7 linked regions of the Macaca mulatta genome follow. The protein of the gene in region 5 purifies or fractionates together with the protein of the main gene of each other region. This does not show direct contact. Links are inferred from orthologs where the notes say so. Each region holds a gene or a part of one and is shown on either strand. Other genes may lie near its edges.

What was found.
Region 1: the proteins of TNKS1BP1 (region 5) and CAPZA1 purify together in Homo sapiens (affinity purification with mass spectrometry; 3 studies listed by BioGRID and IntAct, with this or other methods). This does not show direct contact. The link is inferred for Macaca mulatta from reciprocal best matches to the Homo sapiens genes TNKS1BP1 and CAPZA1.
Region 2: the proteins of TNKS1BP1 (region 5) and FHL2 purify together in Homo sapiens (affinity purification with mass spectrometry; 3 studies listed by BioGRID and IntAct, with this or other methods). This does not show direct contact. The link is inferred for Macaca mulatta from reciprocal best matches to the Homo sapiens genes TNKS1BP1 and FHL2.
Region 3: the proteins of TNKS1BP1 (region 5) and CNOT10 purify together in Homo sapiens (affinity purification with mass spectrometry; 4 studies listed by BioGRID and IntAct, with this or other methods). This does not show direct contact. The link is inferred for Macaca mulatta from reciprocal best matches to the Homo sapiens genes TNKS1BP1 and CNOT10.
Region 4: the proteins of TNKS1BP1 (region 5) and CNOT11 purify together in Homo sapiens (affinity purification with mass spectrometry; 5 studies listed by BioGRID and IntAct, counting the BioPlex papers as one, with this or other methods). This does not show direct contact. The link is inferred for Macaca mulatta from reciprocal best matches to the Homo sapiens genes TNKS1BP1 and CNOT11.
Region 6: the proteins of TNKS1BP1 (region 5) and CNOT2 purify together in Homo sapiens (affinity purification with mass spectrometry; 5 studies listed by BioGRID and IntAct, with this or other methods). This does not show direct contact. The link is inferred for Macaca mulatta from reciprocal best matches to the Homo sapiens genes TNKS1BP1 and CNOT2.
Region 7: the proteins of TNKS1BP1 (region 5) and CNOT7 purify together in Homo sapiens (affinity purification with mass spectrometry; 4 studies listed by BioGRID and IntAct, counting the BioPlex papers as one, with this or other methods). This does not show direct contact. The link is inferred for Macaca mulatta from reciprocal best matches to the Homo sapiens genes TNKS1BP1 and CNOT7.

Annotation. Positions count from the first base shown.
Region 1 is NC_133406.1:127,634,897-127,639,142, reverse strand, and holds the start of CAPZA1 (F-actin-capping protein subunit alpha-1), read left to right. Parts: upstream 1-1,432; 5' UTR 1,433-1,642; coding exon of another isoform or gene 1,643-1,643; 5' UTR 1,644-1,827; coding exon 1,828-1,866; intron 1,867-1,892; exon of another isoform or gene 1,893-2,257; intron 2,258-4,246. Other genes in the region: ST7L (suppressor of tumorigenicity 7 protein-like), read right to left, coding at 898-1,102. UniProt on the Homo sapiens protein: F-actin-capping proteins bind in a Ca(2+)-independent manner to the fast growing ends of actin filaments (barbed end) thereby blocking the exchange of subunits at these ends.
Region 2 is NC_133418.1:13,500,657-13,505,025, forward strand, and holds the start of FHL2 (four and a half LIM domains protein 2), read right to left. Parts: upstream 2,908-4,369; 5' UTR 2,611-2,907; coding exon 2,356-2,610; intron 232-2,355; coding exon 181-231; intron 1-180. UniProt on the Homo sapiens protein: May function as a molecular transmitter linking various signaling pathways to transcriptional regulation. Negatively regulates the transcriptional repressor E4F1 and may function in cell growth.
Region 3 is NC_133407.1:15,750,240-15,753,185, forward strand, and holds the end of CNOT10 (CCR4-NOT transcription complex subunit 10), read right to left. Parts: intron 793-2,946; coding exon 638-792; 3' UTR 535-637; downstream 1-534. UniProt on the Homo sapiens protein: Component of the CCR4-NOT complex which is one of the major cellular mRNA deadenylases and is linked to various cellular processes including bulk mRNA degradation, miRNA-mediated repression, translational repression during translational initiation and general transcription regulation.
Region 4 is NC_133418.1:9,406,728-9,411,130, reverse strand, and holds the start of CNOT11 (CCR4-NOT transcription complex subunit 11), read right to left. Parts: upstream 2,919-4,403; 5' UTR 2,840-2,918; coding exon 2,326-2,839; intron 1-2,325. UniProt on the Homo sapiens protein: Component of the CCR4-NOT complex which is one of the major cellular mRNA deadenylases and is linked to various cellular processes including bulk mRNA degradation, miRNA-mediated repression, translational repression during translational initiation and general transcription regulation.
Region 5 is NC_133419.1:16,085,634-16,089,264, reverse strand, and holds part of TNKS1BP1 (182 kDa tankyrase-1-binding protein), read right to left. Parts: intron 3,559-3,631; 5' UTR 3,494-3,558; coding exon 3,400-3,493; intron 2,315-3,399; coding exon 1,681-2,314; intron 1-1,680.
Region 6 is NC_133416.1:77,323,168-77,327,447, forward strand, and holds the start of CNOT2 (CCR4-NOT transcription complex subunit 2), read left to right. Parts: upstream 1-1,420; 5' UTR 1,421-1,492; coding exon of another isoform or gene 1,493-1,872; 5' UTR 1,873-1,903; intron 1,904-4,280. Other genes in the region: uncharacterized protein LOC144332960, read right to left, coding at 1,264-1,334, 1,493-1,631, 1,735-1,872. UniProt on the Homo sapiens protein: Component of the CCR4-NOT complex which is one of the major cellular mRNA deadenylases and is linked to various cellular processes including bulk mRNA degradation, miRNA-mediated repression, translational repression during translational initiation and general transcription regulation.
Region 7 is NC_133413.1:18,829,303-18,832,933, reverse strand, and holds part of CNOT7 (CCR4-NOT transcription complex subunit 7), read left to right. Parts: intron 1-3,008; coding exon 3,009-3,170; intron 3,171-3,631. UniProt on the Homo sapiens protein: Has 3'-5' poly(A) exoribonuclease activity for synthetic poly(A) RNA substrate. Its function seems to be partially redundant with that of CNOT8.

The sequences.
Region 1 (4,246 bases), on a different chromosome or scaffold from region 5:
TCATGTTATCTCTGAACAGGAAAGGGGACATTCGCTACCTTCTGCTACAGAAAAATCAACCACTGTACTGAATCATATAACAGAAATACTTCTATCTTGTTCTGAGGTTGCTGCTCAGAGCTTGAGTGAAATATAATCACATGCTAAGGGGATCTGGGCCCTAAACACTTTATCCCGTCTACAACTAAAGAATAGTACAGTATATGAGAATCCATCAGGATCATCACTTCTTACATGTGTTAGTATTTTCAGCACAGACTACATAGCAAGTGTTCTACAGATGTCGAAAGAACTAGCAAACCGACAGTTGTTTGTGGCGCTCTCTCACTTCCTGTACTACATTACTCAAGATAAGCCTAAAAGAACAGACAAAAATATCACGACAACTATTTCTTAACAGAACTATTTTAAAACAAGAGAATCGTCAATTAAAATCATGCCATTTTCTTTCTCTGAAATCTTTAAATTACAGATGTGCTCATCTTTGTTGCCTGGATATGAGTTCTCTCAGCTGGGCGGCGAGACACTCAAAGCAGTGACTTTATGGGATCCTACCAGAGGCGGGGGAGCCAATATAAATTACGTATCCTAATCTGAGAATGCACCCTTCTGTCCTAATACCTGAAGCTTATAGCTTGTCAGGTGGCTTTTCCACGGAAAAACGAGGACATAAGAGAAAGGACGGACCTTAAGAGTTCTAGGGAGGAGCCGGTAGAGGCAGCAGGCTTGACAATCAACTGCAAGGTTGCAGTCCAAAAGAAAAAGAACCCACTTGATCGCTCATCATCGACTCCTCAGAGGCCCTCTAGGACTACCGAGAATCTCTTGCCCTTTGGCTCTTGCCCCCGACATCTCTCCTGGCCCCCCGCCCTGCCCCAGGAGGTCTGGTCCTCTCACCCGCTGCCAAATTCTCACACAGCCTCAAAGGGATCCTCAGAGCGTAAAGCAGCCCCAGCCCCGCCACTAACCACACCGAGACCCCAGTCCCCGCCAGCCCGGCTCGCAGTCGCTCCCTCCAGCCCAACGTCGGGTTTAGGCCGGGGACAGGTGCAGGAGACGCTCTAGCAGCCGCGGCTTCACCCGAGCCGCCACCGTCCGCCATCTTGCCGCTATCGCAGGAGCCAGGAGCTGGGAGGGGAGAAGGACAGGAAACCGGGAGTCGGGAATCCTGGGATAGTGGCGGACCTGAAGTTGGCCTCTCTGAAGGCTGAGTCCTGGGGAACCGGGACCGAGAAGATTTCGAAGGTGGAGGAGCGTGTCTCAAGATTGAGGATACCTATTCCTTTGTGGGGCAGGGAAGGGGCGGACAGCAGCGCCTGTTCTGGAGGAACTGGACTAAGATGTGACCCCAAAGTGAAGTATTACCGCTTCCAAACGAAATGAGGGTCACCTTTCACACCCCCGCCCCCCGGGGTTGGAAAAGCCACCGATCGTTCCAGCGGCCGAGCAGCTCTTAGAGCTTTGGATTCGGCTGTCGTGGAGATAACGGGTACCAGAAAAACTGCAAGAGCGACTTGGTCGGATGGAGGCCAGGAGCCAAGAATAATCGAAACACGCTGCCAGCACCCATTAGATGGATGGGAAATGAGTGTAACTCATTGGGAAAGATATTAGACTTTAAATCACCGAAGGCAAAGCCTACTTCCTGGGGCGCGGGCGCGGGCGCTGGCACTAGTAGACGTCACTCCCGCGCATAACTGACATGGCGCCCTCTTGGTCGGCGTTTCCGGGCGGGTCCTTCCGACGGCCCCCGCGGTGATTCCATCACTCGGCTTTCTTCCCGGCCTGCCTAGCGCCCACACCCGGGCTGGGCCAGAACAGCCCAAGATGGCCGACTTCGATGATCGTGTGTCGGATGAGGAGAAGGTAAGGGGTCCGCCTCTCTCTCTTACCTCCTCCCCCGACAGGGAACTGGGGCTCGGCCCGGCTGCGTTGGGAGCCTCGCAGTGTCCCCAGGAAAAAGAAGCTTCTTTGTCAATGCTGACATACGCTCTCCGCAGTCGGGACGCTTCCCTCTTACGGGGCTTTCCTCTGCCTCACGGTGGCCCCAGTTCCTCGTTCCTCGACTCTCCTTTTCTCTCAGGCCTGAGGCACAGCCCAGGGGCCTCCCTGCGAGGGAACAGACGTTTCCTTTATTAGATCGTGACTGTGGACTTTTTTCCTGTAATTTTGAGAGTGGGTGGTGGTTATGTTGCTACATATCAAAAAGCAGTTATTTTACCGCCTTTAGCAGTTGGTGCTAACCCCCATCCCCCCATTTGTAGATATAATTGGGGTTAGTTTAGGGCGAGTCACTTCCTGGTCAGGATGGCCTCTTCCTTTTTGCTCCTCCTTCCTCAGGAAGTGATTTTGCTGTCACGACTCCTCGACAAGGAGAGGTCCCAAATGTTGTCCACCTCACTACACATGCAGTACTTTTCTCAAGTACTGTCGCCTGTCTGATTCGCTATAATAAATCTGTGAGCCTCAGGGCATGTGCTTCACAATTTGAGCACTAGACTTTCCCTGTAGACACACCCTTTTAACGATAATTTTTGAAAATTTTGTTTCTTGTTAACAAATGTAGAATAGCTGATGGATTTTCTTAACCTCAAGAAAGATTTTCTGTAACAGATAATAAACTGCATGTTAACACGTTCAAGACTTGACAAAGCGTCCTGCCTTCTCTGGTGCTCCACTGTGGAGTCTTTGATTAGCTGAATTTGTCAGTGTGCAGTTTGTATACTTATTTCTTGAAAAGCGTTTTAAATACAAGAGCACATTCTAAGGTGGAATAACTTTTCTTCTGACATTTGCACAGTTTCATAACAGTTTTGTCAGGCTTTTCAGTAAGTACATGATTTTAGGGCACGTGGAACTTAGAATGACCTCACGAGACAACTTACTTACAAGAATTATGACATTTGTCTCCTGCTGTGGCTATTGGAAAATGTGTCCCCTTGAGTGCTCTGTAAATCTACCAGGGTGTTTTTTTAAATAAGAAGTTGGGATGGGGAGGGGACTGTTATGATCCATAAGTCCTCTGCACCGAATAACTTGATACATCATACCTACATATGGCATGCCATTTTGAAATGCTTAACAAGCCATTGAACAACAGCATTAGATTTTCTCTTATTTGGAAACTGATCTTCATACATAAGATTTAGGACAAAAACAAAGACATATATGAGCTTATGCTGGAAATCAATCTATAATAAATTGTTCTAAGGCAAATAGTTACTATTCAAATAAAATTAAGCAAAAATCCTGTTATAATACAAATCCTGTTACAACTAAACAAATTTTTTTTTTTTTTTTTTTGAAACGGAGTCTCGCTGGGCTCACTGCAACTTCCGCCTCCCGAGTTCAAATGATTCTCCTGCCTCAGCTTCCCAAGTAGCTGGGATTACAGGCACCCGCCAACACGTCAAGCTAATTTTTGTATTTCTTGTAGAGACTGAATTTCGTCTTGTTGCCCAGGCAGGTCTCAAACTCTTGGGCTCAAGTCCATCCGCCTCCGCCACTTAAGTGCTGGGTTTACAGGCGTAAGCCACCGCGCCCGGTCAAAATTCCACAAATAATTTAAATAATAAACTTTTAAGTTTATTGTGCCTACGTGATACACATTGACCAGTGTTGTTGGATTTTTGTCTTCGATACCAGGTTAGAATGCCTTTAATTAAACTTGGGAAAGTATATTTTTTAAAATGCCAATTAAGATGTCTTTAAATACTGGCAGTGTTTTAATAACATTAACGTGTTGGGTTTTTTTTGTTTTGTTTTGTTTTGAGTTGGAGTTTCGCTCTGTCACCCCGGGTGATGTGCAGTGGTGCGATCGCTGCAACCTCTGCCTCTCTGGTTCCAGCGATTCTCCTGCCTCAGCCTCTCGAGTAGCTAGGATTACAGGCGCCTGTCACCACGCCTGGCTAATTTTTTTGTATTGTTAGTAGAGACAGGGTTTCACTATGTTGGCCAGGCTGGTCTCCAACTCCTGACCTCGTGATCTGCCCGCCTTGGCTTCCCAAAGTGCTGGGATAACAGGCGTGAGCCACTGCGCCCGGCCAGTCTTGGTTTTTTTAATAGCAGATCTGTGACCAGTTTCGTCTTCTAGCATAGTTTTTTTGTTGCCAAATATATTTCAATATTGCTTTTTATCTTGGTTACATTTTCTAAAGGCAGTAAACCTTTAGAAAATTTGGTGATAATGAATGGACTCTAATTTCCTTATAAATATGTATGTAAAAGCTAGTAAAATCATCTATTC
Region 2 (4,369 bases), on a different chromosome or scaffold from region 5:
TCGGTCTACCCATTCATATGCAATCCTATCCAAAAACACCCTCGCAGACACACCCAGAACATATGACCGAATGTTTGGGCACCACATGGCCCAGTCAAGTTGACACATGAAAGTAATCATCACGGGAGCTAAAACTGAAATCCACAATTTAGGATGACAGAGGAAATTCATTTGACTCACCCCAAAGTCAAAATGCCAGCCTAGTCTCCAGGAAGACACAGTTCTCAGCCCCTAGAGAAAGCACATGCATTTTGTTTCAGATGGTCATCTTGAGGAAGCGACTTCAGTATGACGCAACCTGAGATGGACACTTAATAAATGTGGCTTTGATCAAATTCTCATAATAAAACCGCACAGAAGAACCCAACGTCTGACATTTCCATTCACCCAGGCTCAAGGAACTTTTTACCTCGGGGCATCTGAGTCAGAGAGCCGCTTACCAACTTTACCAACTCAGGCCCCGGTGCTGACAAAGGAAGCTGCCTGAGTCACAGAGGCTGAATAACTGGCCCTCAGCACAGGACGGGAGTAAACTGATATCTAGTCTGATTTGTGTGTGTGTGTGTGCAATATTCTACTGGGTGTTTTTGACTGCAATTTAAATATCTTTCAGTACTGGAAGTGGCTTAACACGCAATCTTGGGTCAAAGAATGCAGCATAAGGCCTCATAGAAATATTCAAATGTTAAAAAATAAATAAATATTCAAATGTTCCTCCCGTGGTGTGTTTAGGGTTAGAACTCAGGTTCTCAAGTTAAGCTGCCTGGGGTCAGATCTCAGGGCTACCATTTACAGCCTGGGAAACCCTGAGTTAAAGTTACTTTGATCTCTGTTTTCAGTGTCTTTACCTGTAAAAATGAGGCTGTCAAATAGGTACACACTGTCTATGATGTCCAGACTTTTTAACAACCCTGCCAAAGAGACAACATCATTGTCACTGTTTCCCAGTGAAGGAAACCGAGACACCACGACATGAAGTGATTTGGCCCAGGCTGCACAGGTTGAGGGACCCGGATGTAAATTCAGGCAGCCTAGATGCAGTCCCCCGCATCCTCTAGCCTACCGCATCTGCCTGTGGTTATTTGTGAGACCGTGAGCTAAAATGAGACAGAATCTATGTGCCCAGAACAGTTTCTGGTCTTTAGTAAGCCCATCATTAGCCTTCATCGACATATGATGGTGTAAACGCATTTTAAACCATGGCAGGCTAATAAACACCATGAAAACACAATTCTATGTATCAATTGATGATCTTCTAAATTGGAGGGTGATCTAAATCCAGTAACACTTGAAAAAATTTTATATAAATGCACAATGAAATGTTCTTTGAGTTTGATTTTATTAAAATTAAATTGATAGACTAGGAATTCCTGTACTTCTAAGACTTGCTGCAAATTTTTTTTTTTTTTTTTTTGGTCTAAAACATCTTCAGGATAGTGCAAAACCTCTTTTCTTTAATATATTATTATAAAACATTCGTTAGTAGAGTCAGCACCAAAAATGTGAGATGTATTTGGAGTTGTGTTTTGAAGACAGTTCTCCTGATTCTAAGCCCAAATTGTGATTTATTACCTTCCAAAATATGTGGAAGGGAGTGCGGGCCTTAAGTTCAGTGCTGTCTAAGTTCACTGCTGCTTGGAGGCCAGCTACACATTTCAGCTAACGGGGTTAGCCTACTTCCAATTAAAACCTGACTGGGGATATGAAAGTAAATATGATTGATTCATTTAAAATCTGAAAAACAGTATTTTCTTCCCTCAATTTCTAGTATGCTAAGATATCACACGAGTGCAACTTAAGAAAAACTTAGAATCTTTTTCATTTAAAATACGCCTTTTTTTTTTAACCGAATGGTTCAGTTATTAAATGTCTACACGAGTCAAGGAGTGAGGTCACACTGCAAGCTCCACTTATTTCTACTGAAGGGAAATAGCCCGGACACCCCCGCGCAGACCACCGTGCCAGGACAACCGGCTCCGGAGTCGGGCCTTGAAGCAAGGGGACAGCGTCACCTCCCCGCAGCCGCCGGCTGGGACCCGCGGCCAGCCTTTACCCAGGCTAGCCAAGCCCCTGCCCGCATGGCGGTGCCCCACCTGGTGAGGACTTGGGCTGTAATCCCCCCTCTGGGGATGGGTCCGTGGGCTCCTCTGAGCTCCAGCGCCCCCAGGGTCTAGCCCCCTCTCATTGCTCCGCTCCCCTCTTCCCGTGGTCTCCCCACTCCCAGCCCCCAGGGATCTGCTCCCCTCTCCCGGGTCTACCCTACAGCTCATTTCCTTTCTCCCGGCTTCTCTCCGCACGGTTCGGCTCCCCTCTCCCAGGGTTCTTCTCCGACCCACAGCTCTCCTCTCCACTCACCGGTCTCCCCAACTCCGGATCTGCTCCCCTCTCCCCGGGTCTCGCACCGGATTCGGCCCCCTCTTCCGAGTCCTGGTGGCTAAGCCCCTCGGCCTCCCTCCGGGGCGCAGGGAGCTGGAGGTACTCACGGCGCCGCAGCGGCCCGGGGACTCCCGGACGGCGCGGGCGGGCGCGGGCGGCTGGTGGCTGCTGCTCCGCTGCCGGCCGAGTGGAGCGCTGCGCGGCTCCCGCCCTCGAGAACCCCCTCCGTGTCATTTGACCATATAAGGAGATGCACGCCTCGGCTCGCTGGCACCGGGCGTGGGGCGCTGGGGGCGGGCGCCCCCTGGCCTAGCGGTCGCCGTGCCCCCGCCCCGGGCTGCGGCGCTCCCGGCCCATGCCCTTTGTTTGCCAGGGCTCTTTCTTCTTGCCCTCCGGGTCTTGGGAGCACCTTGGTTATCCCGAGAGTCTCCTCCGACGTGGGCGTGAGTTTCGGACGGGGCCTGGACGCCAGTGGCAGGGGTCTGCCCACGCCGGGATCTCTGCCTGCTCCCAGGAGCAGGAAGCTGGCGAAGCCCGAGGAGGTGCCGGGGACGGCGGAGGGAGGAGGGGGCCACTTCTCAGGAGGCATGTGCCTGGGATGTATTTGCACGGTGGATTTTTTTCCTTCTTACCCTGCAGATGCTTCTTTACGAAAAGAACCCCACAGATGACCGTAAAGAATCGTTCGTTCCACTAGGGAGGGGACTAAAGGAAGGTCCTATCCCTACCTCTCCCTCTCGGGGCCAGAAGACTAGTTAGACATCCTGGATTCCCCTCCAGGGCGGGAAAAGCAAAGTGAGCTGGGAGCGTGCCTCCCACACTCCAAGCCTGTGCCCTCTGAGTGAGACTGACGCTGGGTAGGGACAGATGGCACTGTTCAACATTGTCGCAGGGAGAGCACAGGCTGAGCCCATCCCTGGGAGAGGGTGCATCGTGATAGAAACGTTTGCTCCTGAGCAGGTAACTGGTCCACTTGCAGAAACCGATGGACGATGAGCAGGTGGACAACAAAGGCGTCCTAGGCACTTTGGGGGCAGGTGTATTATTTTTAACATTCAGGGCAGCTCATAGGAATACATCCTCCAGAGAAGGCAGGAAGAACTCCGTGATTGCTTTCTTTTAGTTGATACTCCCCATCTGGTAGCCCTCATGGATCTCCATCATGGAATCACAGAACTTGAGAATCAAGGGTTTCATCACCTTAGCTTCCACTCTATGAGCACTAGCTCCACCTGGTATCTCATTTGATCCACACTTCCTTAAGGTAAAGATTTTTACCAGATTTATGGTGAGGAAAGTTCAGCTCAGAGAGATTTGCTCAAGGCCACGTGAAAGGTAACTGTGCCAGCTGAGATTTGAACTGGAGTCCGGTAGATGGCAAAACCATGTAAGTATATTACGGGATCAGAAATGCCTCTCATCCCTCAGTCACTCAGGTGACTCCAGAGGACTGAGACTTGCCATAAGCCCAGCCAGAACTAGATGTGCGGAATACAGCCGTCCCCTAACCCCACCCCACGGTGTCCCTGAAACGGGACACTTCCCTGAAGAACCTGAGTTAAGGCCACCCTCCCTGAATTTCCACTAAGTGTCAAGGCAGGCTAGTATTTTGAAATTCAGAGCAAAGTTTGTGTAGAAAAGGCTCCCAGCCCCTGACAGCTACCTAGCTGTGTTGTCGCTATTGTTACATATTAGGAAATGGTCTCCTAGTTCTCAAATGGTGAGCCTTAAGCTGCAGTTTGTAAAAACAAGTCCTAAAATGATGAAACATTAATTCTGCATTTATCTTCTTTCTGATTTCCTCTTGTCTTACATTTTGATTTTTTTAAGCTTTCTGACTTATGGGTGTAATCCATTTAACTTTGCTTTTTTTACTGATAGAGTTATTTAGTTCTGTTATTTTTCTTCTAATAACTGCTTTAGCTGTGCCACATAGTTTCAGCGATGTTGTTTTATTATTAAGAAATTCTGCGATTTAATTTTGTGTTTCATT
Region 3 (2,946 bases), on a different chromosome or scaffold from region 5:
AAACATTAACACAAAACCTCAGATGCTAAAATAATCTAAGAGTCAAGAAAAGACTTCTGATAAAATTATGTTTTAATTGCCTATGGCATATATTACATAATGTCTCAAAATTAATAGTCTGGCTGAAATTAAGAAAAACAGCAGGCCGGGCGCGGTGGCTCAAGCCTGTAATCCCAGCACTTTGGGAGGCCGAGACGGGTGGATCACAAGGTCAGGAGATCGAGACCATCCTGGCGAACACGGTGAAACCCCGTCTCTACTAAAAAGTACAAAAAAACTAGCTGGGCGAGGTGGCGGGCGCCTGTAGTCCCAGCTACGCGGGAGGCTGAGGCAGGAGAATGGCGTAAACCCGGGAGGCGGAGCTTGCAGTGAGCTGAGATCCAGCCACTGCACACCAGCCTGGGCAACAGAGTGAGACTCCGTCTCAAAACAAAACAAAAAAAAAACAAAAGAAAACCAGCTGATGATGACCTAGTAAATCCTTAATTTTAAGTAAGCTTTTGGCAAAAAGTCAGGGGTAGAACCGTCTCAAAATTAACAGCCTTCACCATCTTTTATTCATTCTGCTGTGATACAAGTAAAATGGCCAGTAAATACTCCCCTGGGTCTCAGGTAACAGTTTTCCAAAAGCGAAGTATCACTTTCTCTGCACAGTGGTGAAAGCCGGCATTTGGATGGGCTGGATCGGGTGGACAGGCTGAAACACTGGCTTCTTTCTCACTTCAGAGTGTGTTTTCACTGCAGGGAGCAGCTGATTCCTTTTGATGATCTGTAAGGCCAGCTGAGTATTACCTATAAAAACACTTCCCGTTAAAAAAGCAAGCAACAATACTACCACACACAAAGCAAGCCATGAGAATCCTGCTAGGGAGGTAAAAGATGATCTAGAAGAGCCGTCATCTGCAGCCTTGGCTGTACACTGGAATCCCATAAAGCCTCCATCCTATCCCCAGAAATTCCAATTTAAGTGATGTAGGGCATGGCCCGGGCAATGGAACTTTTTTTTTTTTTTTTTTTGAGACGGAGTCTCCCTCTGTCCCCAGGCTGGAGTGTAGGGGCACCATCTAGGTTCACTGCAGCCTCCGCCTCCCGGGTTCACGCCATTCTCCTGCCTCAGCCTCCCGAGTAGCTGGGACTACAGGCGCCCGCCACCACGCCCAGCTAATTTTTTGTATTTTTAGTAGAAACGGGGTTTCACCATGTTAGCCAGGATGGTCTCGATCTCCTGATCTCGTGATCTGCCCGCCTTGAACTCCCAAAGTGCTGGGATTACAGGCGTGAGCCACCGCGCCCGGCCAGGCAATGGAATTTTTAAAAGTTTCCCAGTGATTCTAAGGTACAGCCCAGATAGAGAACTTGTTATAGGTGGGCTGTATAAAAGAAACAATCAGCTCGGAGGGTTGGTTCACGTCTGTAACCCTAGCACTTTGGGAGGCCGAGGTGGGCAGATCGTCTGGGCTCAGGAGTTTGAGACCAGGTTGGGTAACATGGTGAAACCCTGTCTCTAGAAAAAATACAAAAATTAGCTGGGCGTGGTGGTGTATGTCTGTAGTCCCAGCTATGTGGGGGGCTGAGGCAGGAGGGCTGCTTGAACCTGGGAGGTCAAGGCTGCAGTGAGCTGAGATCACGCCACTACATTCCAGCCTGGGTGACAAACTGAGACCCTATCTCAAAACAAAAAACAATGAAACAGTCTAGGGCAATGCACTAACCCTAATCACATCTTTAAGGAGGCTAAGTCTGGCTGGGTGCCAGGCACTTAAGACCCCTTCTTCAGCTATTAAAAAAAAAGGGGAGCCTTGTAAGAGTTCCCATGGTCAACAAGGAGTTATGCCTTTGAACACTGGGTTTTCTTTGAGACAGAGTCTTGTTCTGCGGCCCAGGCTGGAGTGCAGTGGGGTGATTATGGCTCACTGCAACCTCCATCTCCGAGGTTCAAGCGATTCTCCTGCCTCAGCTTCCAGAGTAGCTGGGATTACAGGCATGAGCTACTGTGCCCAGCCTTTTTTTATTTTTTATTTTTTAAAAAAGAGACAGGGTCTCACTATGTTGCCCAGGCTGGAGTGCAGTGACTGTTCACAGGAGCAATACTGCACACTATAGCCTTGAACTCTTGGCCTTAAGCAATCCTCCTGCCTCAGCCTCCAGAGTAGCTAGGACTCCACGCCTGGCTGTGACTTCATTTCTGTCCCTTTTTTGTTTTTTGAGACAGAGTCTCGCTCTGTCGTCCAGGCTGGAGTGTGGTGGCACGATCTCCCTCCGCCTCCAGGATTCAAGCAATTCTCCTGCCTTAGCCTCCTGAGTAGCTGGAACTACAACTGCGTGCCAACACGCCCAGCTAATTTTGTGTATTTTTAGTAGAGACAGAGAAAATAACATTTATTTTCACCATGTTAGCCAGGATGGTCTCGATCTCCTGACCTCGTGATCCGCCCGCCTCGGCCTCCCAAGTGTTGGGATTACAGGCGTGAGTGAGCCACTGCACCCGGCCTAGTTCTGTCCCTTCTAATCTCTCTCATTCATGTCTCTTTTCTACTTCATGCTATCTCATATCTAGAGCCGACAGCCTTTCTTCTAGTGAGATACATCTTGCAGATCGTATATGCCCTAGAGGCATGACCTGAATTTATGTTTGAATAAATAATTCTCAGCAAGAACTGGCTTACTGTAAAACTTGTTAATATATGTGTTCAAAATACTATGGTGTACAACTCAAAGCAACTACAGTCTAACTCATGTTCTCAATTAGTCATTTAGCTGCCTATGAGAAAGGTTAATAGGGATTAATTATAATTAAGTGTCAGAAGTTATGATTCTGTATTTTCTCAGATAAAAGGTGATAAGCTTAACTTGTAAGGAGTATTTGTAGGATACCAAAAACTCCCCAACTATATCTATCAGTCAATCTATCTATCTAGATATAGATATTTTTTATTATTACTATTT
Region 4 (4,403 bases), on a different chromosome or scaffold from region 5:
CGATCTCAGCTCACTGCAGCCTCCGACTCCCAGGTTCAAGCAATTCTCCTGCCTCAGACTCCTCAGTAGCTGGGATTACAGGAGTGCACCATCATGCTGGGCTGATTTTTGTATTTTTGGTAGAGATGGGGTTTCATCATGTTGGCCAGGCTGGTTTTGAACTCCTGGCCTCAAGTGATCTGCCTGCCTCGGCCTCCCGAAGTGCTAGGATTGCAGGCATGAGCCACCGCACACGGCTTTACACCCAGTTCTTTAGTAATACCTGGCAGAGTCACTCCTGCCCTCGCACCTGCATCCCTAATCAATATCCAGCAAAAGTATCACTCCTTCCGAGAATCTCTCTGGCTCCATGGGTGGTCCTTCCTTCCTCTGTACTACCCAGCATTACACAATCGCAGTCCTGCCTCAGTTCAGAGTCATCTGAAAAGCATTCTGAAGACATACCCACTAAATGTCTTACCCTAAACAGAAAACAGCAGCAGCTCTGGGAGTGGGGTGTTGGCACTGATATTTTTCTATGTTACCTACACACCATCCCTACCTACTTTAATAATGGTAATAATAGTGGGTAACACTCACAGGTACTTTTATTCTTTGTAACAACTCTACCAGCTGGCAATTGTTACTATTTGCATTTTACAGATGAGGAATCTGAGGCACAAAACGGTTAAATATAATCCATCCATGGATTCTTTCTCTGGCAACTGCCATCCCACCCATGGCAAATCTGTGTGTACAATGCAGTCTACGGACTAGGTGTGGGTTTAGATTCACTGTATATGAGAATGACATTAATAAGTCACAGTTCCCTTGCCTCACTTGTTCTTCAGAATTCAAAGGGCCCTCTGACCTAAATCCCATAGTGTCCCAATCCTCTAATACCAGCACCCCAGGGTGGTGGTTGTCTCTTTGTGTGTGTGTGTGTGTGTGTTTAGAAGCAGGGTCTCGCTGTCACCCTAACTCACTGCAGCCTCAAACTCCTAGGCTGAAGTGATCCTTCTGCCTCAAACTCCTGAGCAGCTGGGACTACAGGTGTGAGCCACCCATGCCCAACAATTTTTATTTTTTATTTTTTGTAGACAGGGTCTTACTATGTTGCCCAGCATGGTTTCAAACTCCTGGCCTCAAGCAATTCCCAACCCCCAACCTCCACCACTTCGGCCTCCAGAAGCGCTGATATTATAGGCGTGAGCCACCTCGCCAGGCCTAGGTGGTGGGTTTTGACCACAAACCTGTGTTACATTCACTTTCTGGGCAGTCACAAGCTTCTTAAAAGCAGGTTAAGTACCTGTACCCTAACGGCATCTCAGCCAATACAAAAGGTTGCCCTTCTTAGATAAGGGCACTACAGGACACCAATCAGAGATCCTGACGGGGTGCCAGGCAGGAACGCTAACTAGAAATGCGGCCCTCCTGTACCATAAAAACAAACTCCTGGTGTCACCTCAAAATCTGCTGCCTTAGCCTTGACTCACTGTATAGCAGGCCCTACCTGTGCTGGTTAAGGAATGTAAGATCAAGCTGTTACCTATCTCTAGCTATGTGCTTCCTCCACTACACTGGTCCCTAAATCCTTCAGGTCCCTTGTCACCACGCCATTTTTGTTTTCTGACTGCAAGTCTTCTCCCAAAGCAAATCCACATAAAGCATCCCCTGTTTGAGCTTAAAAACAAAAAAATGTAGCCTCGCATCCAACCTACTAGTTTGATCTCACCAATGCCACACAATGGTAAATATATTTTACATAATTTATACCATGAATGCACTTTACATAATGTCCAGTAAGTCATGCGTTTCCAATCGCGAGATCATCAATTTGAGACTTTCTATCCTCTGCCCCCATCCCTAACAGGCTAAGGCAGGCGGCTGCAAAGTCTTTAATGGTGTTTCACGTGTATTTCCGCCCACAACTTCTTCAGCTTCTTAGTACTGACTTCTACGTACTCCTTTGAGACTAAAAACCGGGGACAGATCTAGTCTTATCGTTGGTTTTAACTTCACACACCACAGACGGGCTTTCGAAGAACGAACCGTATTTGAGACACTAAACATGTCAAGACCTACACTGAGCTCTATGATGTGATGGGGTGTATAGAGAAATTATTTTCGGTGTCACGAACTTGCAATTAAGCTACCACCTCTCCATTCTTTAGAGTTAAGGCGGGGAGGGAGTGAGGGGCGTGGGAACGCAAAGGGAGGCGGAAAAAGAGGATTATCAGTTCACACGGATAGTTAATTTCCCTTTCAGGTGAGCTCCCAGCAGCGCGGGTGGAAAGCTGCGGAATCTAACGCATTCCACACGGCACAGCTGGCTTCAGCAGGTACCTGAGAGCGGAGGGCGGTCGGGCTCCTGACCGCCGCGGGCGGGCGGCGCGGGGTTGAGCAGGTGCGCGAAGCTGGCGGCGAAGGGGTTTGCGGCCAGCGGCTCGGTGCGGTACATCTCCCAGAGCAGGTAGAGCGCCGTGAGACGCTGCGCCGCGCTGGGCAGCAGGTCCGGCTGCTGGAGCAGCATGACGAGCACCGAACCCAGGCGGAAGTGGTCGGCCTTGCTGAAGTAGTGATGGAAGGCGGTGGACAGGCCCTCGAAGGTGCTGCCGCCGCCCGCCTCCTCCGATATGATGCTGAGCAGGCTCGAGAGTTCCTTCGGGGTCAAGCTCATCCTGCCTGCGGGGCCCCCAGGGCCTCCGCTCCCGGACCCGGGGCCGCTTGCTCCGCCTCTGCCGCCGCCGGAGCCCCCGAAGCCGCTCCTGGACGCCGACCCTGCCGCTTCCCGGGACACTCTTTGCTCCGCGGCGGTGAGAAGCCGGCAAGACGCCGCGCTCGCCCCTCCGCCGGGCATCAACCTCGCTCCCCTTCCCCTCTTCCCGGCCCGAGGGGCCCTGGCGCCGGCTCGCTCCGTCCCCGCGGCCGTAAAGCGCGCTGTTACACGACAGCGTCGCAAACAAAACACGTCGGGGAAACCAGACCGCCGCGGAAAGGGACAGCGCCCAGCGAAAGCGAGGCTGATGGAGCGAAGCCAGGAAGAGGATGCGGAGACGCGGGGTAGGCGGGGCGAATTGGCAGGAAGCGGGGGCGGGGCCCGGGAAGGGAGGCGCGGTGAGAGGTCGGGCTGGCGGCCTTCAGGGCTAGGTCGGCTGAGGTTCCCCGGCAGGAGCGCCCGGGGCCCGCGTGCGTCGGCGCAACTGCAAGCGAAAGCCGCACCTTGGCGGTCCCTAGGACAGTGCCTGGTGCCAGACGGTCCCAGTAAATGCTATCTACGTTATTACTTGCAAAAACGCACCTCGGATGTTAACTATTTTCTTAACATAACATCCATAAGTATTCGTCGTAAAAATATTGTAAAGGCCGGCGGGGCGCGGTGGCGCGTGCCTGTAGTCCCAGCGCTTTGAGTGTCCTAGGCGAGAGGGTCGCTGGAGCCTGGGAGTCCCAGGCTGCAGTGAGCTGTCATCACCACTGCACTCCAGTCTGGGCGCTCTGTCTCAAACATTTTTTTTAATATAGTAAATGAAAAAGATGCCACGCATTTCTCGTAACCACGGTTAATTTCTAGTCTTACACTCTTTTATTGCAGAAATGGAATCGTACTGCGCTATGAGCTTTTTTGTACATGGTTTTTTCCCTCTTAACACGATTTCAAGAACATGTCTCCAGTTAATATTCATGTACAAAATTGTTTGCTGTGCCACGTTTTCCTTAGACTGCCCTAGGGTGCTTATCCTGGGCACTTAGCGGTGCATTAGAAACCCACGGGGAGGCGTTGCAAATACCTGGTCCCACCCCCAGAGATGAGTCAGGTATTAATAAACCCCGCCTCTTCAGGTGAGGCTGAGGTGTAGTCTGGGCTGAGAACCACCAGGTGGCATTTCCCAGACTTGCCCGTCCCTAAACCTACAGAAACGTGCATGTATTTCACCAGTGATTACCACCAGCGATTCTTAATTATCTAGTTAAGCGCCATCTCAATTCTTTTTTAAAACGTATTTTTATTTTATGTGTTTTTGGGGAGAAATTTTATTTTTTTTTTCATCTTTTTAAAACTTGTATTTCAGTAGTTTTGGGGGTACAGGTGGTTTTTGGTTACATGGATAAGTTTTGAGTAGTGATTTCCGAGATTTTCGTGCACCCGTCACCAGAGCAGTGTACACTGTACCTGTCAGGCCTTTGAGCCCAACCCTTCACATATACATCCAGATGGCCTGAAGTAACTGAAGAATCACAAAAGAAGTGAAAATGGCCGGTTCCTGCCTTAACTGATGACATTACCTTGTGAAATCCCTTCTCCTGGCTCAGAAGCTCCCCCACTGAGCACCTTATGGCCCCCACCCCTGCTGGCCAGAGAACAACCCGCTTTGACTGTAATTTTCCACTACTTTTATTGCTCACACAGCTTGTTTGGTGGTCTC
Region 5 (3,631 bases):
GAGACAGTGCTTATTCCCTACCTGAGCGTGAAGGGTTAAATTCCCCAGCTCCTTTAGGAAAAGCATCCTGGATGCCCAGACCTCTCAATGGTTCCTAAAAACATAACTCTTCTTTCCCTTAACCCATAAGGAGTTAAAGTTCTCCTCTAGCCAGGAAGAGTGCAGCTGGTCCCGCTGCCTTGCCAATACTTCTTGAAGAACTGCAGTGGGGGAGGGGAAGAGGAAAGAGTGATTTTCCAGGGCTGAAGTTGTTCTTAAGCCCTCCTTGGAGTGAGGGAGGCAAGGAAGATGGCGGGTGGAACCCAGCCTGGGCAAGAGTGTGACCTCACAGCACCCTGGTCTGGGACAGGCAAAGGACTGGCTCTGGGGCCAAGGCTCCAGACACTTGAAGGTAGAGAAGGGCAAGGCCAGAGGGCAGGGCAGGGCACGGACTCTCAGTTTCCCGCTCGGCCCAGACCACACCAGCCTTTGCTTCTCATAGCAGTAGGAAGAGAAAGGGAGCCTCTGAGCCCAGCAGAGCGGTCAAAGGCCCAAGGAGCCAGCCATGCCTCAAGCTGGCTCTCCCAGCACTGAGGACAGCCTCTGTGCAGCTGATGGCTCCTGAGATGCCTCAGCCTCTTCCTCCAATGTCCCGTGCCCACAACCCCAAGAAGCACCTCCTGGCCAGCCTTGCTTTCCACTAGTGGCAACTCTGGAGAAGCGTTATCATATGCAAATGTCTCCAACCAGCCAAAATCTCTATGCAGACACTAGCTGGCCTGGAATCAAGATGTGTTCTTGTCTTATCTCTCCCATCAGATTCCGCCTCACAGGGAGAGACTGTGCCCTGCTCCTCCTGACACACGCAGCCCACCCCAGGACAGGCACACTGCTCTGCCCACTGTAAGAGCTAACAGTTAAGAGCAGAGGCTTTGGAATCAAACAAGATGTCCGTCTCTGCCTCTTAACTTGCCGAGACTATGGAAGTCATTTTTGAGCCTCAGTTTCCTCATCTCTACAATGGATCTAATACTCCCTTGAACAAACAGGATGCCAATGAGGCCAGCTCTCAGTATATGGAAACTAAAAATAAACTTCTTGGCCGGGCGTGGTGGCTCACGCCTGTAATCCCAGCACTTTGGGAGGCCGAGGCAGGCGGATCACCTGAGGTCAGGAGTTCAAGACCAGCCTGGCCGACAGGATAAAACCCCATCTCTCCTAAACATACAAAAAAACTATTAGCTTGGTGTGGTGGCACACGCCTGTAATCCCAGCTACTTGGGAGGCTGAGGAAGGAGAATCACTTGAACCTGGGAGGCAGAGGTTGCAGTGAGCCGAGATTGCACCACTGTATTCCTGCCTGGGCGACAAGAGCAAAACACCATCTCAAAAAAAAAAAAAAAAAAAAAATCTATTGTCTATTAAATTTCTGTACTATACACTTGAACTCTCTAACATAAACCTACATCAATTCTGTAACGAAAACTACAACTTTAAAAGCATACAGTAATGATAACACCATCTGCTGGGGAATGACTTGTGACTTAGATCGGGATCTGCCTGTATTCACGGCACACGACCAATCTACGGGTAAAAGTCACAACCCTATACGGGGCCATGCACTTGGTCCCCAGCCCCCACCCAATCCCACCCCATCTGACCTCCAGGCTGCCACAAAACATACAACCTCCCACCCTTCACCTCTCCTCAGGGGTCCTGCTGTGCTCTTCCTGGCACTCGGCTGCAGGCTTTACTGGCTCCTCCTGGGACCGTCCCTTGGAGAGGGTGCTGCCATCCTCATCCCTGGGAGCAGTGGTCGTGCCATAGGTCCTGGGGCCATACCGCGAGCTGCCATCGTGGTTAAAGGTGAGGCGGGAACCCCACAGGCGGTCAGGGCTGGCAGGGACCTCCTTCCGAGGCTGCTCCATCTTGGCCAGGATCTCTTCCACCGTGGTGGCCGCGAAGCGCTCTGAGGCTGGGCGGAAAGGGGCAGGGGCCTTCCGTACGCCCCCTGGGGCGGCACATCGAGCTGGGGGTGTCAACGGGGGTGGCTCCTCTTTCCCAGCCTCCTCTTTCCCAGTCTCTTGGATGGCTTCTCCTCCAGTGGAGGCCTCAACCACAGGCCTTGGTGCAAAGGGAAGCGGGCGCTTGCTGCCACCATAGGGTTGGGGTCCTGCCAGCATGTTCATCTTCCTGGCAGAAGGCAACTCAGCCAGGGGACCCCGGGGAGGCCGAGGCCCAACAGGCACCAGCAGGCTGGGTTTGGCAGGCAGGGCTGGCTTGGCAGGCAGGGCCCGGGGTTTGGGCTTGACAGGGGGTTTGGCCCGAGTGTCACCTACCAAAAGGAAAGGGTTGGCAGGGGAGCTGTCAGAAGAACCAGGAAGCAGAACTCCTTTGTTCCTGTTCCACCTCATCTCCCACCCTCCAATTTAAGAATATTCACATCTTTCTAGACACAAGTCATATGCCACCTCTTCCGTGAAGCCTTCCTTGATTTTCTACACACATCCCAGAAGCATCTTCTTCCTTCTTCAAACTCCCAAAATGTTTTAGCCAATTCCCCTTTTAAGCTGAAGCTATGTAAGGACCCACCTGGCACCTTATTTCTTCCTGTACTGTATTTTGCAGCTAACATAAGTTTAATTATAAGTTATAATCAAACAAAAGAATGAATGAACAAAAGAGACAACAGACAAACGCCTGCCTGCCCCTATCAAGCAGTCAGTCCCCATATTCCCAATCTAGTTTGTTCACCTTATGTGACACTCTTCTCTATCAACCATAGTAAACTCTCAATCTCAGCCGAGCTTCTCTATCCTGCCTCCAGGCTGCCTCCTCCCCCAGTCATAGCACACTCCCAGGCCACCTCCCCACTGTCATCTGGTGTGTGACTGGGAATGCAAACTTACTATTGACCGAAGTCAAACAAAAGTAAATCTGCTACAGGGAGAAAAAAAAACAGGACCAGAAACCTACCTTCTATATAAAGCTAAATGACCTTGGAAGTAACCTCATCCACTACCCTCCTGATGGAATCCTTTACCTCCTACACATTTGGCTAAATATAAGAAAAGAGTCTATGCAAGGAGCCAGGAGGTCTGGGTTCAAACTCCCACTTGTACACTCCATTTGTCCCTGTGGGCCTCAGTTTCCCCCTCTGCAAAGCATGCAGCTTGATCTGTATCATCTCAAAGGTCCCTGTCTACTCTTACACCTGTTAGAAAGTTATGATCCCAAACAGTTCTGAAGAGTCTCAAGAGAAGCTGAGAACCTTTCACACTCATCCTGCACTGCCTTGGTACTCCTTCTCTATCTCAACAGAATCATCACTCAACCACCCCCCAAGACAGAAAGAGGGGGCAGCCTCTGCCCTTCCCACCCCCTCCCAGCCACCCAGCTCCACCCTGCACCCATTGGTACCTGGCTCAGAGCCAGCAGGCACCAGCTCCTCCTCCATCTCCCGGGGCAGTGGGGAAGCCATGGCTGAGCTTTCCCTGAGAGTAGACACTTTCATTACATGCGGCAGACCCTCCTTGAGAGTTGGGAGGCAGAGAGGTATGAGCCGGGGTGGCTGCAGACCTAGGAAAAGAGAGAGAAGAGAAGGAAAAAAAGAGTTGGGCGTTGCCAGTAGGTTTAGCAGAGAGAAGTCTCC
Region 6 (4,280 bases), on a different chromosome or scaffold from region 5:
AAATACCTAGAGTACCCTCTAAGGTAGGTATTAAAACAATTTTAACAAATTTATAATAGATTTGGCACAAATAATAGGACAATTAAAGGCTTGTTCTTCAACATGGCTTAAAGTGAATTCATCCTAAACAAATAGTGTTCAGTGAGTCAAAGTAAGTAGTATCAAATATTGAAAGTAATAGTATCAATGTATTTTCTCCTAACACTCCTAACCCACACGTTTATTATAAAAATGTTTGTTGTTCTATCTCTTCCAGTAAAATACTCAAGGTAATAAAACTCTCAAATCAGACTTACACCCTCTGGAAGTCATTCTAAAGAGGTATAACCAATCTTTTAACACACCATCTTATGGTTGAAGATGTTAACATGAGAGGAGGAGAAAGCAGAAAGAGGAAGGGACTATTTGGAGAAGACGGGGAGAAAAGAAGGAAAGACACCAATGTGTTGTTCCTCCTCGAATTTTCCTGAAGTGGAAAAAAAAAAAAAAATGAAGTAGAATGTTTGATGAAATGAATAACCAAGTAAAACATTTTCTGTCTACACCAGTACCACTAGGAGTTGAAATAAATTCACACAATGTCTGCTATGTCAAAACACCTTACCTTCAAAAACATGACAGTTACCTTTTATTTTATAGTATGTTGTGTTTCTTGCTATTTCTTATTTTTGACCTTCAATGACAAATTTAAATTGGATTACAGTGATTCTTTTGTAAGGAAAAGGTAAATTTTTAAAAGAAACAACCAAGTGAAGTAGAAATTTTATTTACTTCAAATTAACTAATTACTCAAATAGAAAAGGACAATTTTTCACATTATGAAGCTACACAATTCCAAAACACACATGCAGAGGCTCTTAAGAACGAAATGTCTAGTAATTACAAAAAAAGTGAAGAGTTTACAGACATACAAAGAAATAAAGGGGAATTATTGCAAAGAAAAGTTTAATTTCACTTTGAACGACAACGATTTTTCTGGAAAGCAGATACTTCACTCCTTTAAGTTTCCACCCAAGCCACAATAATTTCAAATGGTCTTGCGGATGACCCAGCTGGTCACTCTTGTTTATGTGGAGACTGGGGGGAATGAGAGTCAGAAAAAGTGCTATAAACCTAATTTGGCTAGAGCAAGTTCACACGACACGACCGTGCTTTAAAAACTTGCTCTCCATTATGTACTTCCTTCCACCAGGTTGGGGGGGGGAAAAAAAAAGGTGAGGATGGTGAGTAAATACACCAGTGGTTTCATCAGAGGGGAACTCACTACTCAGAAGGTGACGGTGACGTGGTGCCGGTCCCTGAAGTACGCGCACAAGCTCCGGAGGTTGCGGGAGCTAAGGGAGGAAACGGGGACACGGTTAAATTCGCCCAGGTGGCGGGAGTGAGGAGGGGAGGAGTGAGGAGGCGGACGTGCGGGGGCGGGGTGTCCAACACAAACACAAACACGAACACGCTCAGCATCCCCGGGGAGGGCGGACTGAAGCCACCTCACCATTCATCGCCCCTGGACCCTGCGGTCCCCCTCGGACTTGGGGCCAGAGCCCTCTGCGAAGCAACCTGGCCCCAGGAAAACGGCAGCGGCCGCAGAAGCCCCGCTCTCTGTAACGGCCGCGGAGGAGCAGCAAGCCTCCCTGTGAGTCGATGGGAGACAAGACGGAGCAGCGGTAAGGGCGGTAGGGGAGTGAAGCGCCTCTCCCCACCTTGTTAGAAGCGCGCTGGAAGCGGCCTACCCACCCCATCGCTGCTGCTTTGCAGTCGCCGCTCCCACCTTCCGCCGCCACCCGGAGGGAAGCCGGAGCGACGGGGGTCACGGCGGCGGTCAGAGGGTAAAGGTCTTGCTCCCAGCAGCCTCCGCGGTGGATACGTCGCCATCTTGGATCCGCGGGACAAGAAAATTCATGCGGTGAGTTTTTGGCAAATTTTCGGAAGTCTGGCAGCGGGGCGCGCGGCGGGGGCGGCGGATTCGGGGCCCCCGCAAGGCGGGGGAATGCCCCGGGGCCGGTCCGGCCGCGCCCGGGGTCCGCCGGTAGCGTCCCGGCCCGCCGCTTCCCGTTGCTTTTGTCTCGGCTCCAATCGAGAGAGGGAGAGCGGAGCGGGCGGGGAGGGGGGGTGGCGGCGGTGGAGGGAGGGAGGGGGTGTGTATGGGGGTGGTGGTGGACGGGACGTAAAGCGTCGCTGTACTCGGGCCGCTGCAGCAGCAGCTCCAGATCCTAGGCCCGGTCCCATCCGCGAGTGGCGGGGCTTCCCCAGACTCCACTCCCCTAGGCTCCCGCCAGCGCGGAGGAGCCGCTACCGCCGCGCTGCTTCCTGGGGGAGAAGAGAAGGCGGCTGCGGCCGTGGCTGAGGAGCTCGAGCCCGCTTTAGACGGCTCTGCCGCCTTCCCAGCAGCTGGTGCTGTCTCTGGCTCCTTACATTCTCAATACACGTATATCATCTGCCAGTTATGTGTATTTCTGTTAGTGTGTGTGTAAGTGTCAGATGGGAGACACTGGACTGGCTAACGGGTGTCAGGAGCCTGCAGGCCCTGGGATACCGAAGGCTGTGCATGGTGGAGGGAGAAGGAATGCAACTGCGATGCTGCCTCTGCCACCGCACCAGGAAGGTGAAGCTTCCGTAGTGTCGTAGACTGAGTCCGGATGGTCCTGGGGCGGCGGAGGAACCACAGATGCTTCTGTCTGTGAAGTTACAAGCCCTGGTTTTCTACTTCCGCAGGGGCCTCTCCACCTTTTGCTGTTGTAGGTCTCACTTAAAAGTTTCACAGAAGAAAAGAGTAGGGTTAAAAGAGGCCTTTGTAGTTCTTAATTGAGGCACTGTTGTCTGTCCGGGAGAAAGCTGATGACTCTTGGTGACTGTGGTCCTTAGCAAAAGTGAATTGTAGTTTTCTTTTATACAAAGTATTTCCAAGGTTTTAGACTTTATATTTATTCCAGGCCTGTAGGTACGGTATTACCACCACTAAAGTCTTACATAAGGGTACCACCCTCTCAGAAGGAACCTAAACAACTTCCTTCGAATCCTTGGAGACATCTTCACTTTTCAACATCCGGAAGACTGAGTGCAACATATTTTGTTTCATTTTCATAAAACTCTTGGTCAGAGAATCCCACTCCTTTTAAAATCGTTTGGGCAGTTCTTCGTAATTAAGTACACTGATTTGAACCCTTAGATTCTTGGCGAAATGGTAAAAAGTACTCAAAGTCAGTTCACGAGGGAAGCCAACTTAAATTTAAGGTTCCAAAGTTGAACATACTTCATGCTTGATATTAGGAATTTTTAGAGCTCGGAATCATAAGTGTGACTCTTGATTTCCCTTTTGAAGCAAGATAAGTGGAAAGAATAAAGTATGGGGTGAGGGATGAGATAGAAATTTTAAAGTATCCATTTACATACAAGGTTTATGTTGAGTTTGGGAATGCTTGGCATAATTGACAACAGTTCTTTCCAAACGTCAATGAATATGTCTCTTATAATTTTGTAAGATTGCGAATTGAAAGGGTTAAGAATCATAGTGGGCTGAAATGGTTAAGTGTCTATATTCAGAGCCCAGTTCATTGAAATGTTTTATAATGGACCAAGATAATTAGTAAGCTCTGTATGTTGAATTTGTTTAGTTTGTAGTTCTTTTATAATGTTAAATCTAAAGAAAAAGAAATACAAAATACACTTAAAGACAAAACATGTTCCACTCTACTCACTTATTTCTTGACTTTGTAAGATCCTTATTGTAGAAAAGGTATCTTTCTCTCATATTTTCTGAGAGCTTGAATTGTAATAACTTTTGTGAATACTTTGTATTTTAGAGAGGAAGTGAGAAACTCTGCTAAAGTTTTTTTTTTTTGTATCTGAATTAGTACTTCATCAATACAAATAAGTTAATGTAAACATTTGTTGGCAGGAATCTTTTTTTAAGTATACAATGTAGAGATATCTGTAACCTAATCTGATCTCAGGGAATGAGAATTGCCTGTTTGTTTAACCAAGCAACACATACAGCCTATACAATTTTTCAGTTTCTATAATACTTTAATTTATATGGTGGAAAAGGAGGGCAAAATGCTTGTGTGTGAGTGATTTATATCCCCAAGTACCTGATCTTGAAGATAAAACTCAGAATGTGGCTTATCTTCTGATGCTGGGCAAAAAACAAAAACAAAAAAATTCAGAATGATACAACTTCCCATATACCTCCCTACAAGGACTAATTACCTTTGTTTTTCCTTTATAACTTTGGGTGTTGCACTTTTTGATTTTTCAGAGATGCTTTACAGTTATTATAACCT
Region 7 (3,631 bases), on a different chromosome or scaffold from region 5:
GAATTTGTATTGGGCTGCGTTCACAGCCGCGCTGGGCACCCACTGGCTGCAGGTTGGACAGGCTTGATTTACGCTGATGTTAGGAGATGTTTACGGAGAAGGATACAGTGAAAAACATTAGGTAGAAGAAGTCATTTGGAAGATAAACCAGTAGTGCCTAATATAGAGAGAGCACCATGAAGAGATTCTTGGAAATTTTGAAGAAAGAGAAAATTGGCTTCTTAATGGGGTGGCTAGAATGCGTGTCAGTTACAGTGCTAAGACACTAGGGATTTAGTACTGAGGAAAGTTGGTCATGGCCTTTATAACTCAGTGTTTTGTAACTCTTCTGTTTTCTCTCTATTGCCAAAGTCTAAGAATTAGAATTATTAATACTGATCAGTGTATGGGAATTCTCTCCAAACTGAATTTGGAGTTGATATATCTATGAAAATTGAAGTGGAATACTGATGAGCTGTGAAGAAGAAAAGCAACCCATGGAAATAATGTCACTGATGAGTCAAAGAGGGTTAAAAATAAATTTTTAAAAAATCACTTTGAGGCTGGGCACGGTGGCTCACGCCTGTAATCTCAGCACTTTGGGAGGCCGAGGCGGGCGGATCACGAGGTCAGGAGATTGAGACCATCCTGGCTAACACGGTGAAACCCTGTCTCTACTAAAAATACAAAAAAAAATTAGCTGGGCGTGGTGGTGGGCGCCTGAAGTCCCAGCTACTTGGGAGACTGAGGCAGGAGAATGGCATGAACCCGGGAGGCGGAGCTTACAGTGAGCCGAGATCATGCCATTGACTCCAGCCTGGGCGATAGAGTGAGACTCCGTCTCTAAATAAATAAAAAGTAATCACTTTTGGTGATTGCAGTATTTCTTGATATTTGAGAGAATTATTTAATAGGATAGTAGAAATTACAGGGCATCTTGGGTTCAGTGGTAACAGAAAGGATGCTGATGCTTCATTTAAGGAAAGTGGCAGTGTAAAGAAGGAGATGGAGAGTGCCATAAGAAGGGAGGCTGGATGCAGTAGCCCATTCCTGTAATCCCAGCACTTTGGGAGGCCAGTTGGAAGCCAAGGCGGACAGGTCACTTGAGCTCAGAAGTTCAAAACCAGCTTGGGCAACATGGCAAACCCTTGTCTCTACAAAAATAGAAAAATTAGCCAGGCATGGTGACGCATATCTGTAATCCCAGCTACTTGGGAGGCTGCAGAAGGAGGATTGCTTGAGTCTGGGAGGTCAAGGCTGCAGTGAGCCGTGTTCAAGCCACTGCTTCCAGGATGATGGCCAGACCCTGTCTCAAGAATGGAAAGCAGAATCAACAGAATAGTGGTTTTTATTTTGTTTTACAGATAATACACAGACACAGTTGAGTGTTCACGAGTTAAGGAGTTGTATGTTAGGATAAAGATAGGCACTTTAGAAGTCCTTTGAGGAATGGCATGGAATAGCATCTAAGGCATTGGTAGCAGTTAGCTTCGGCGATGAGGCAAGCTGTCTTTGGAGTCTAAAGGAGAACAATCTTCACATAGGTAGATGTAAAGAAAGACAGGAATATTGGTCTGATATTTCTTTGTAAAGCAAGTGTGGGGTGAAGCCATATGCTGCAAGGAAACCGGTGAAGGGTGTTACTAGAAACTTGGAGAAAAAGGGCTAAACCACTTGCATACCTATACCTTGGCAAGTGGCCAAGAATAATGTGAGCCTGGAGAAGAATCTGTTTTTTATTGGTTGCTTATAGTTGCTAAGGCATGCCTCAGTGTGAGCATTGGGACCTGATGAGTGAGATTCTAATTTTTTGAGGTACATATTTTTAGCATAGGAAAGCTATGGTGTCACTAGAAAAAAACCAAAAACCAAAAAACTACTTCATTGGGTTTATTCTGTTACTCTTCCTAAAGGATATTCCAGGGGAGACTGACTTTTAAGTGATGTGGTTTCCTTCTGTTTTAAAGTATTTCCATTGTTAGCTTTGTAATTTTTCAGACCTAGAAATAAGTTGATTTCCAAAGGACTAACCATAAGGATACTTTTTGGCCCAAGTGAAATATACCCTATGGTTTAGTTTTGTCAAAAGTGTTTAATAGGAATTCCTTTTGCCAAGAGGTAGAATCCGGTATTCTTACAATTTGAAAAGTAAGTAAAAAAATACTTTTTCCCATATTCTCAAAAATATATCTGTATTTTGGTAGCTTTTTTGTTTTAATATTTCAGATACAGATATACTGTATTTTGGGAACTTTTGATTTAATATTTCAGATACACATATATTTGAGGTTGGAAATATATTTGTGGTTGGAGATGGCTTTCTTTTTGGCTTAAGTGAAGTCTTGAAGAATTGGTTTATATTTAGATTGCCTGGCTTGATTTTATAAGGCAGTCATTTAGGAATTGGATTGTTGGCAGAAGAAATTATTGCTGTTACAGCACAGTCCTTAACTTTAAACAGTGTTACTTATTGGAGCCATTTGCAAGGCTCATCATTTGTGAAAGGAGGCATCTCCTTCTTTAAGATGAAGTGTAGTTTAACTCGTCCACATGAGACGTTTTCTACCGGGTCTCCTTCCTGGTGCTGCTGAGAGCATGGGAGATGGGCATGTGCCCCGCAGCTATGGCTGCAGCTCCATGTGGCAGCCTTACAGTGGCTGCTGAGACTGAGAGTCTCTGAGAAAACTTGTCTGTTACTTTGTGATGGTAGCCCCTGGTGAGTAGAAGACCCTTTTCCAAACCCAGTTAAATGTATTTAAGTATGAAAGGCTAATAGAGTTAATAGTAAAGATTAAAATTGCACCTTTGGACTCTTTGAATGATTTTTTATTATTTGAAACACTTTTCTGAAATAATGACCCTTGTATTTAAATTGCATTTTTCTTGCATATATGTAAAGCATTGGAACAGCTGGACTCAAGCCAGTCCTCTGTCTCTTTTCCGGCACTGTAGTTATAGATGTAAGCAGAAGAACAGCTTGTTTGAAGTAATGGCATGTTTGAATGTTGTCTTTCTCTTTCTTCTGCCAGGGAGGATATGTATGCCCAGGACTCTATAGAGCTACTAACAACATCTGGTATCCAGTTTAAAAAACATGAGGAGGAAGGAATTGAGACCCAGTACTTTGCAGAACTTCTTATGACTTCTGGAGTGGTCCTCTGTGAAGGGGTCAAATGGTTGTCATTTCATAGGTAAAACGACTACATTGAAAATGCCTTTTGTTTTTCCATCTCATACTTGCTCCACACTTACCTGGGGCACTGTGTTAGTAATTTCAGGTTTAATTCTAGAAAGAGTTGACTGCCATATAGAGTTGTCTCCTGACTCTGAGGAGGCTAGTGTTGGTCTACTTAAAGGTTAATTTAAACTATGGGATCCATTTTTGCCTGTGAGAAGCATGTTGCATAGTGGAAACAGTACGGGTTCTCTACAAAGTGAAAGACCCCGGTTTAAATCCAGCAGTGCCTTTGGAATTGGTGTTACCCAGAGTTTTCTTTTACTGTTTCTACACCTTAGTTTTTAATGTTCTACAGGGGAAACCATTTATTTACATTTACAAAAATTTATTGAGTATTTACCATATGGCAGGCACTGAGATGAGATTCTAGGAATTAAGCTGTGAATAAAACAGACAACAATTATTTTCCTCATG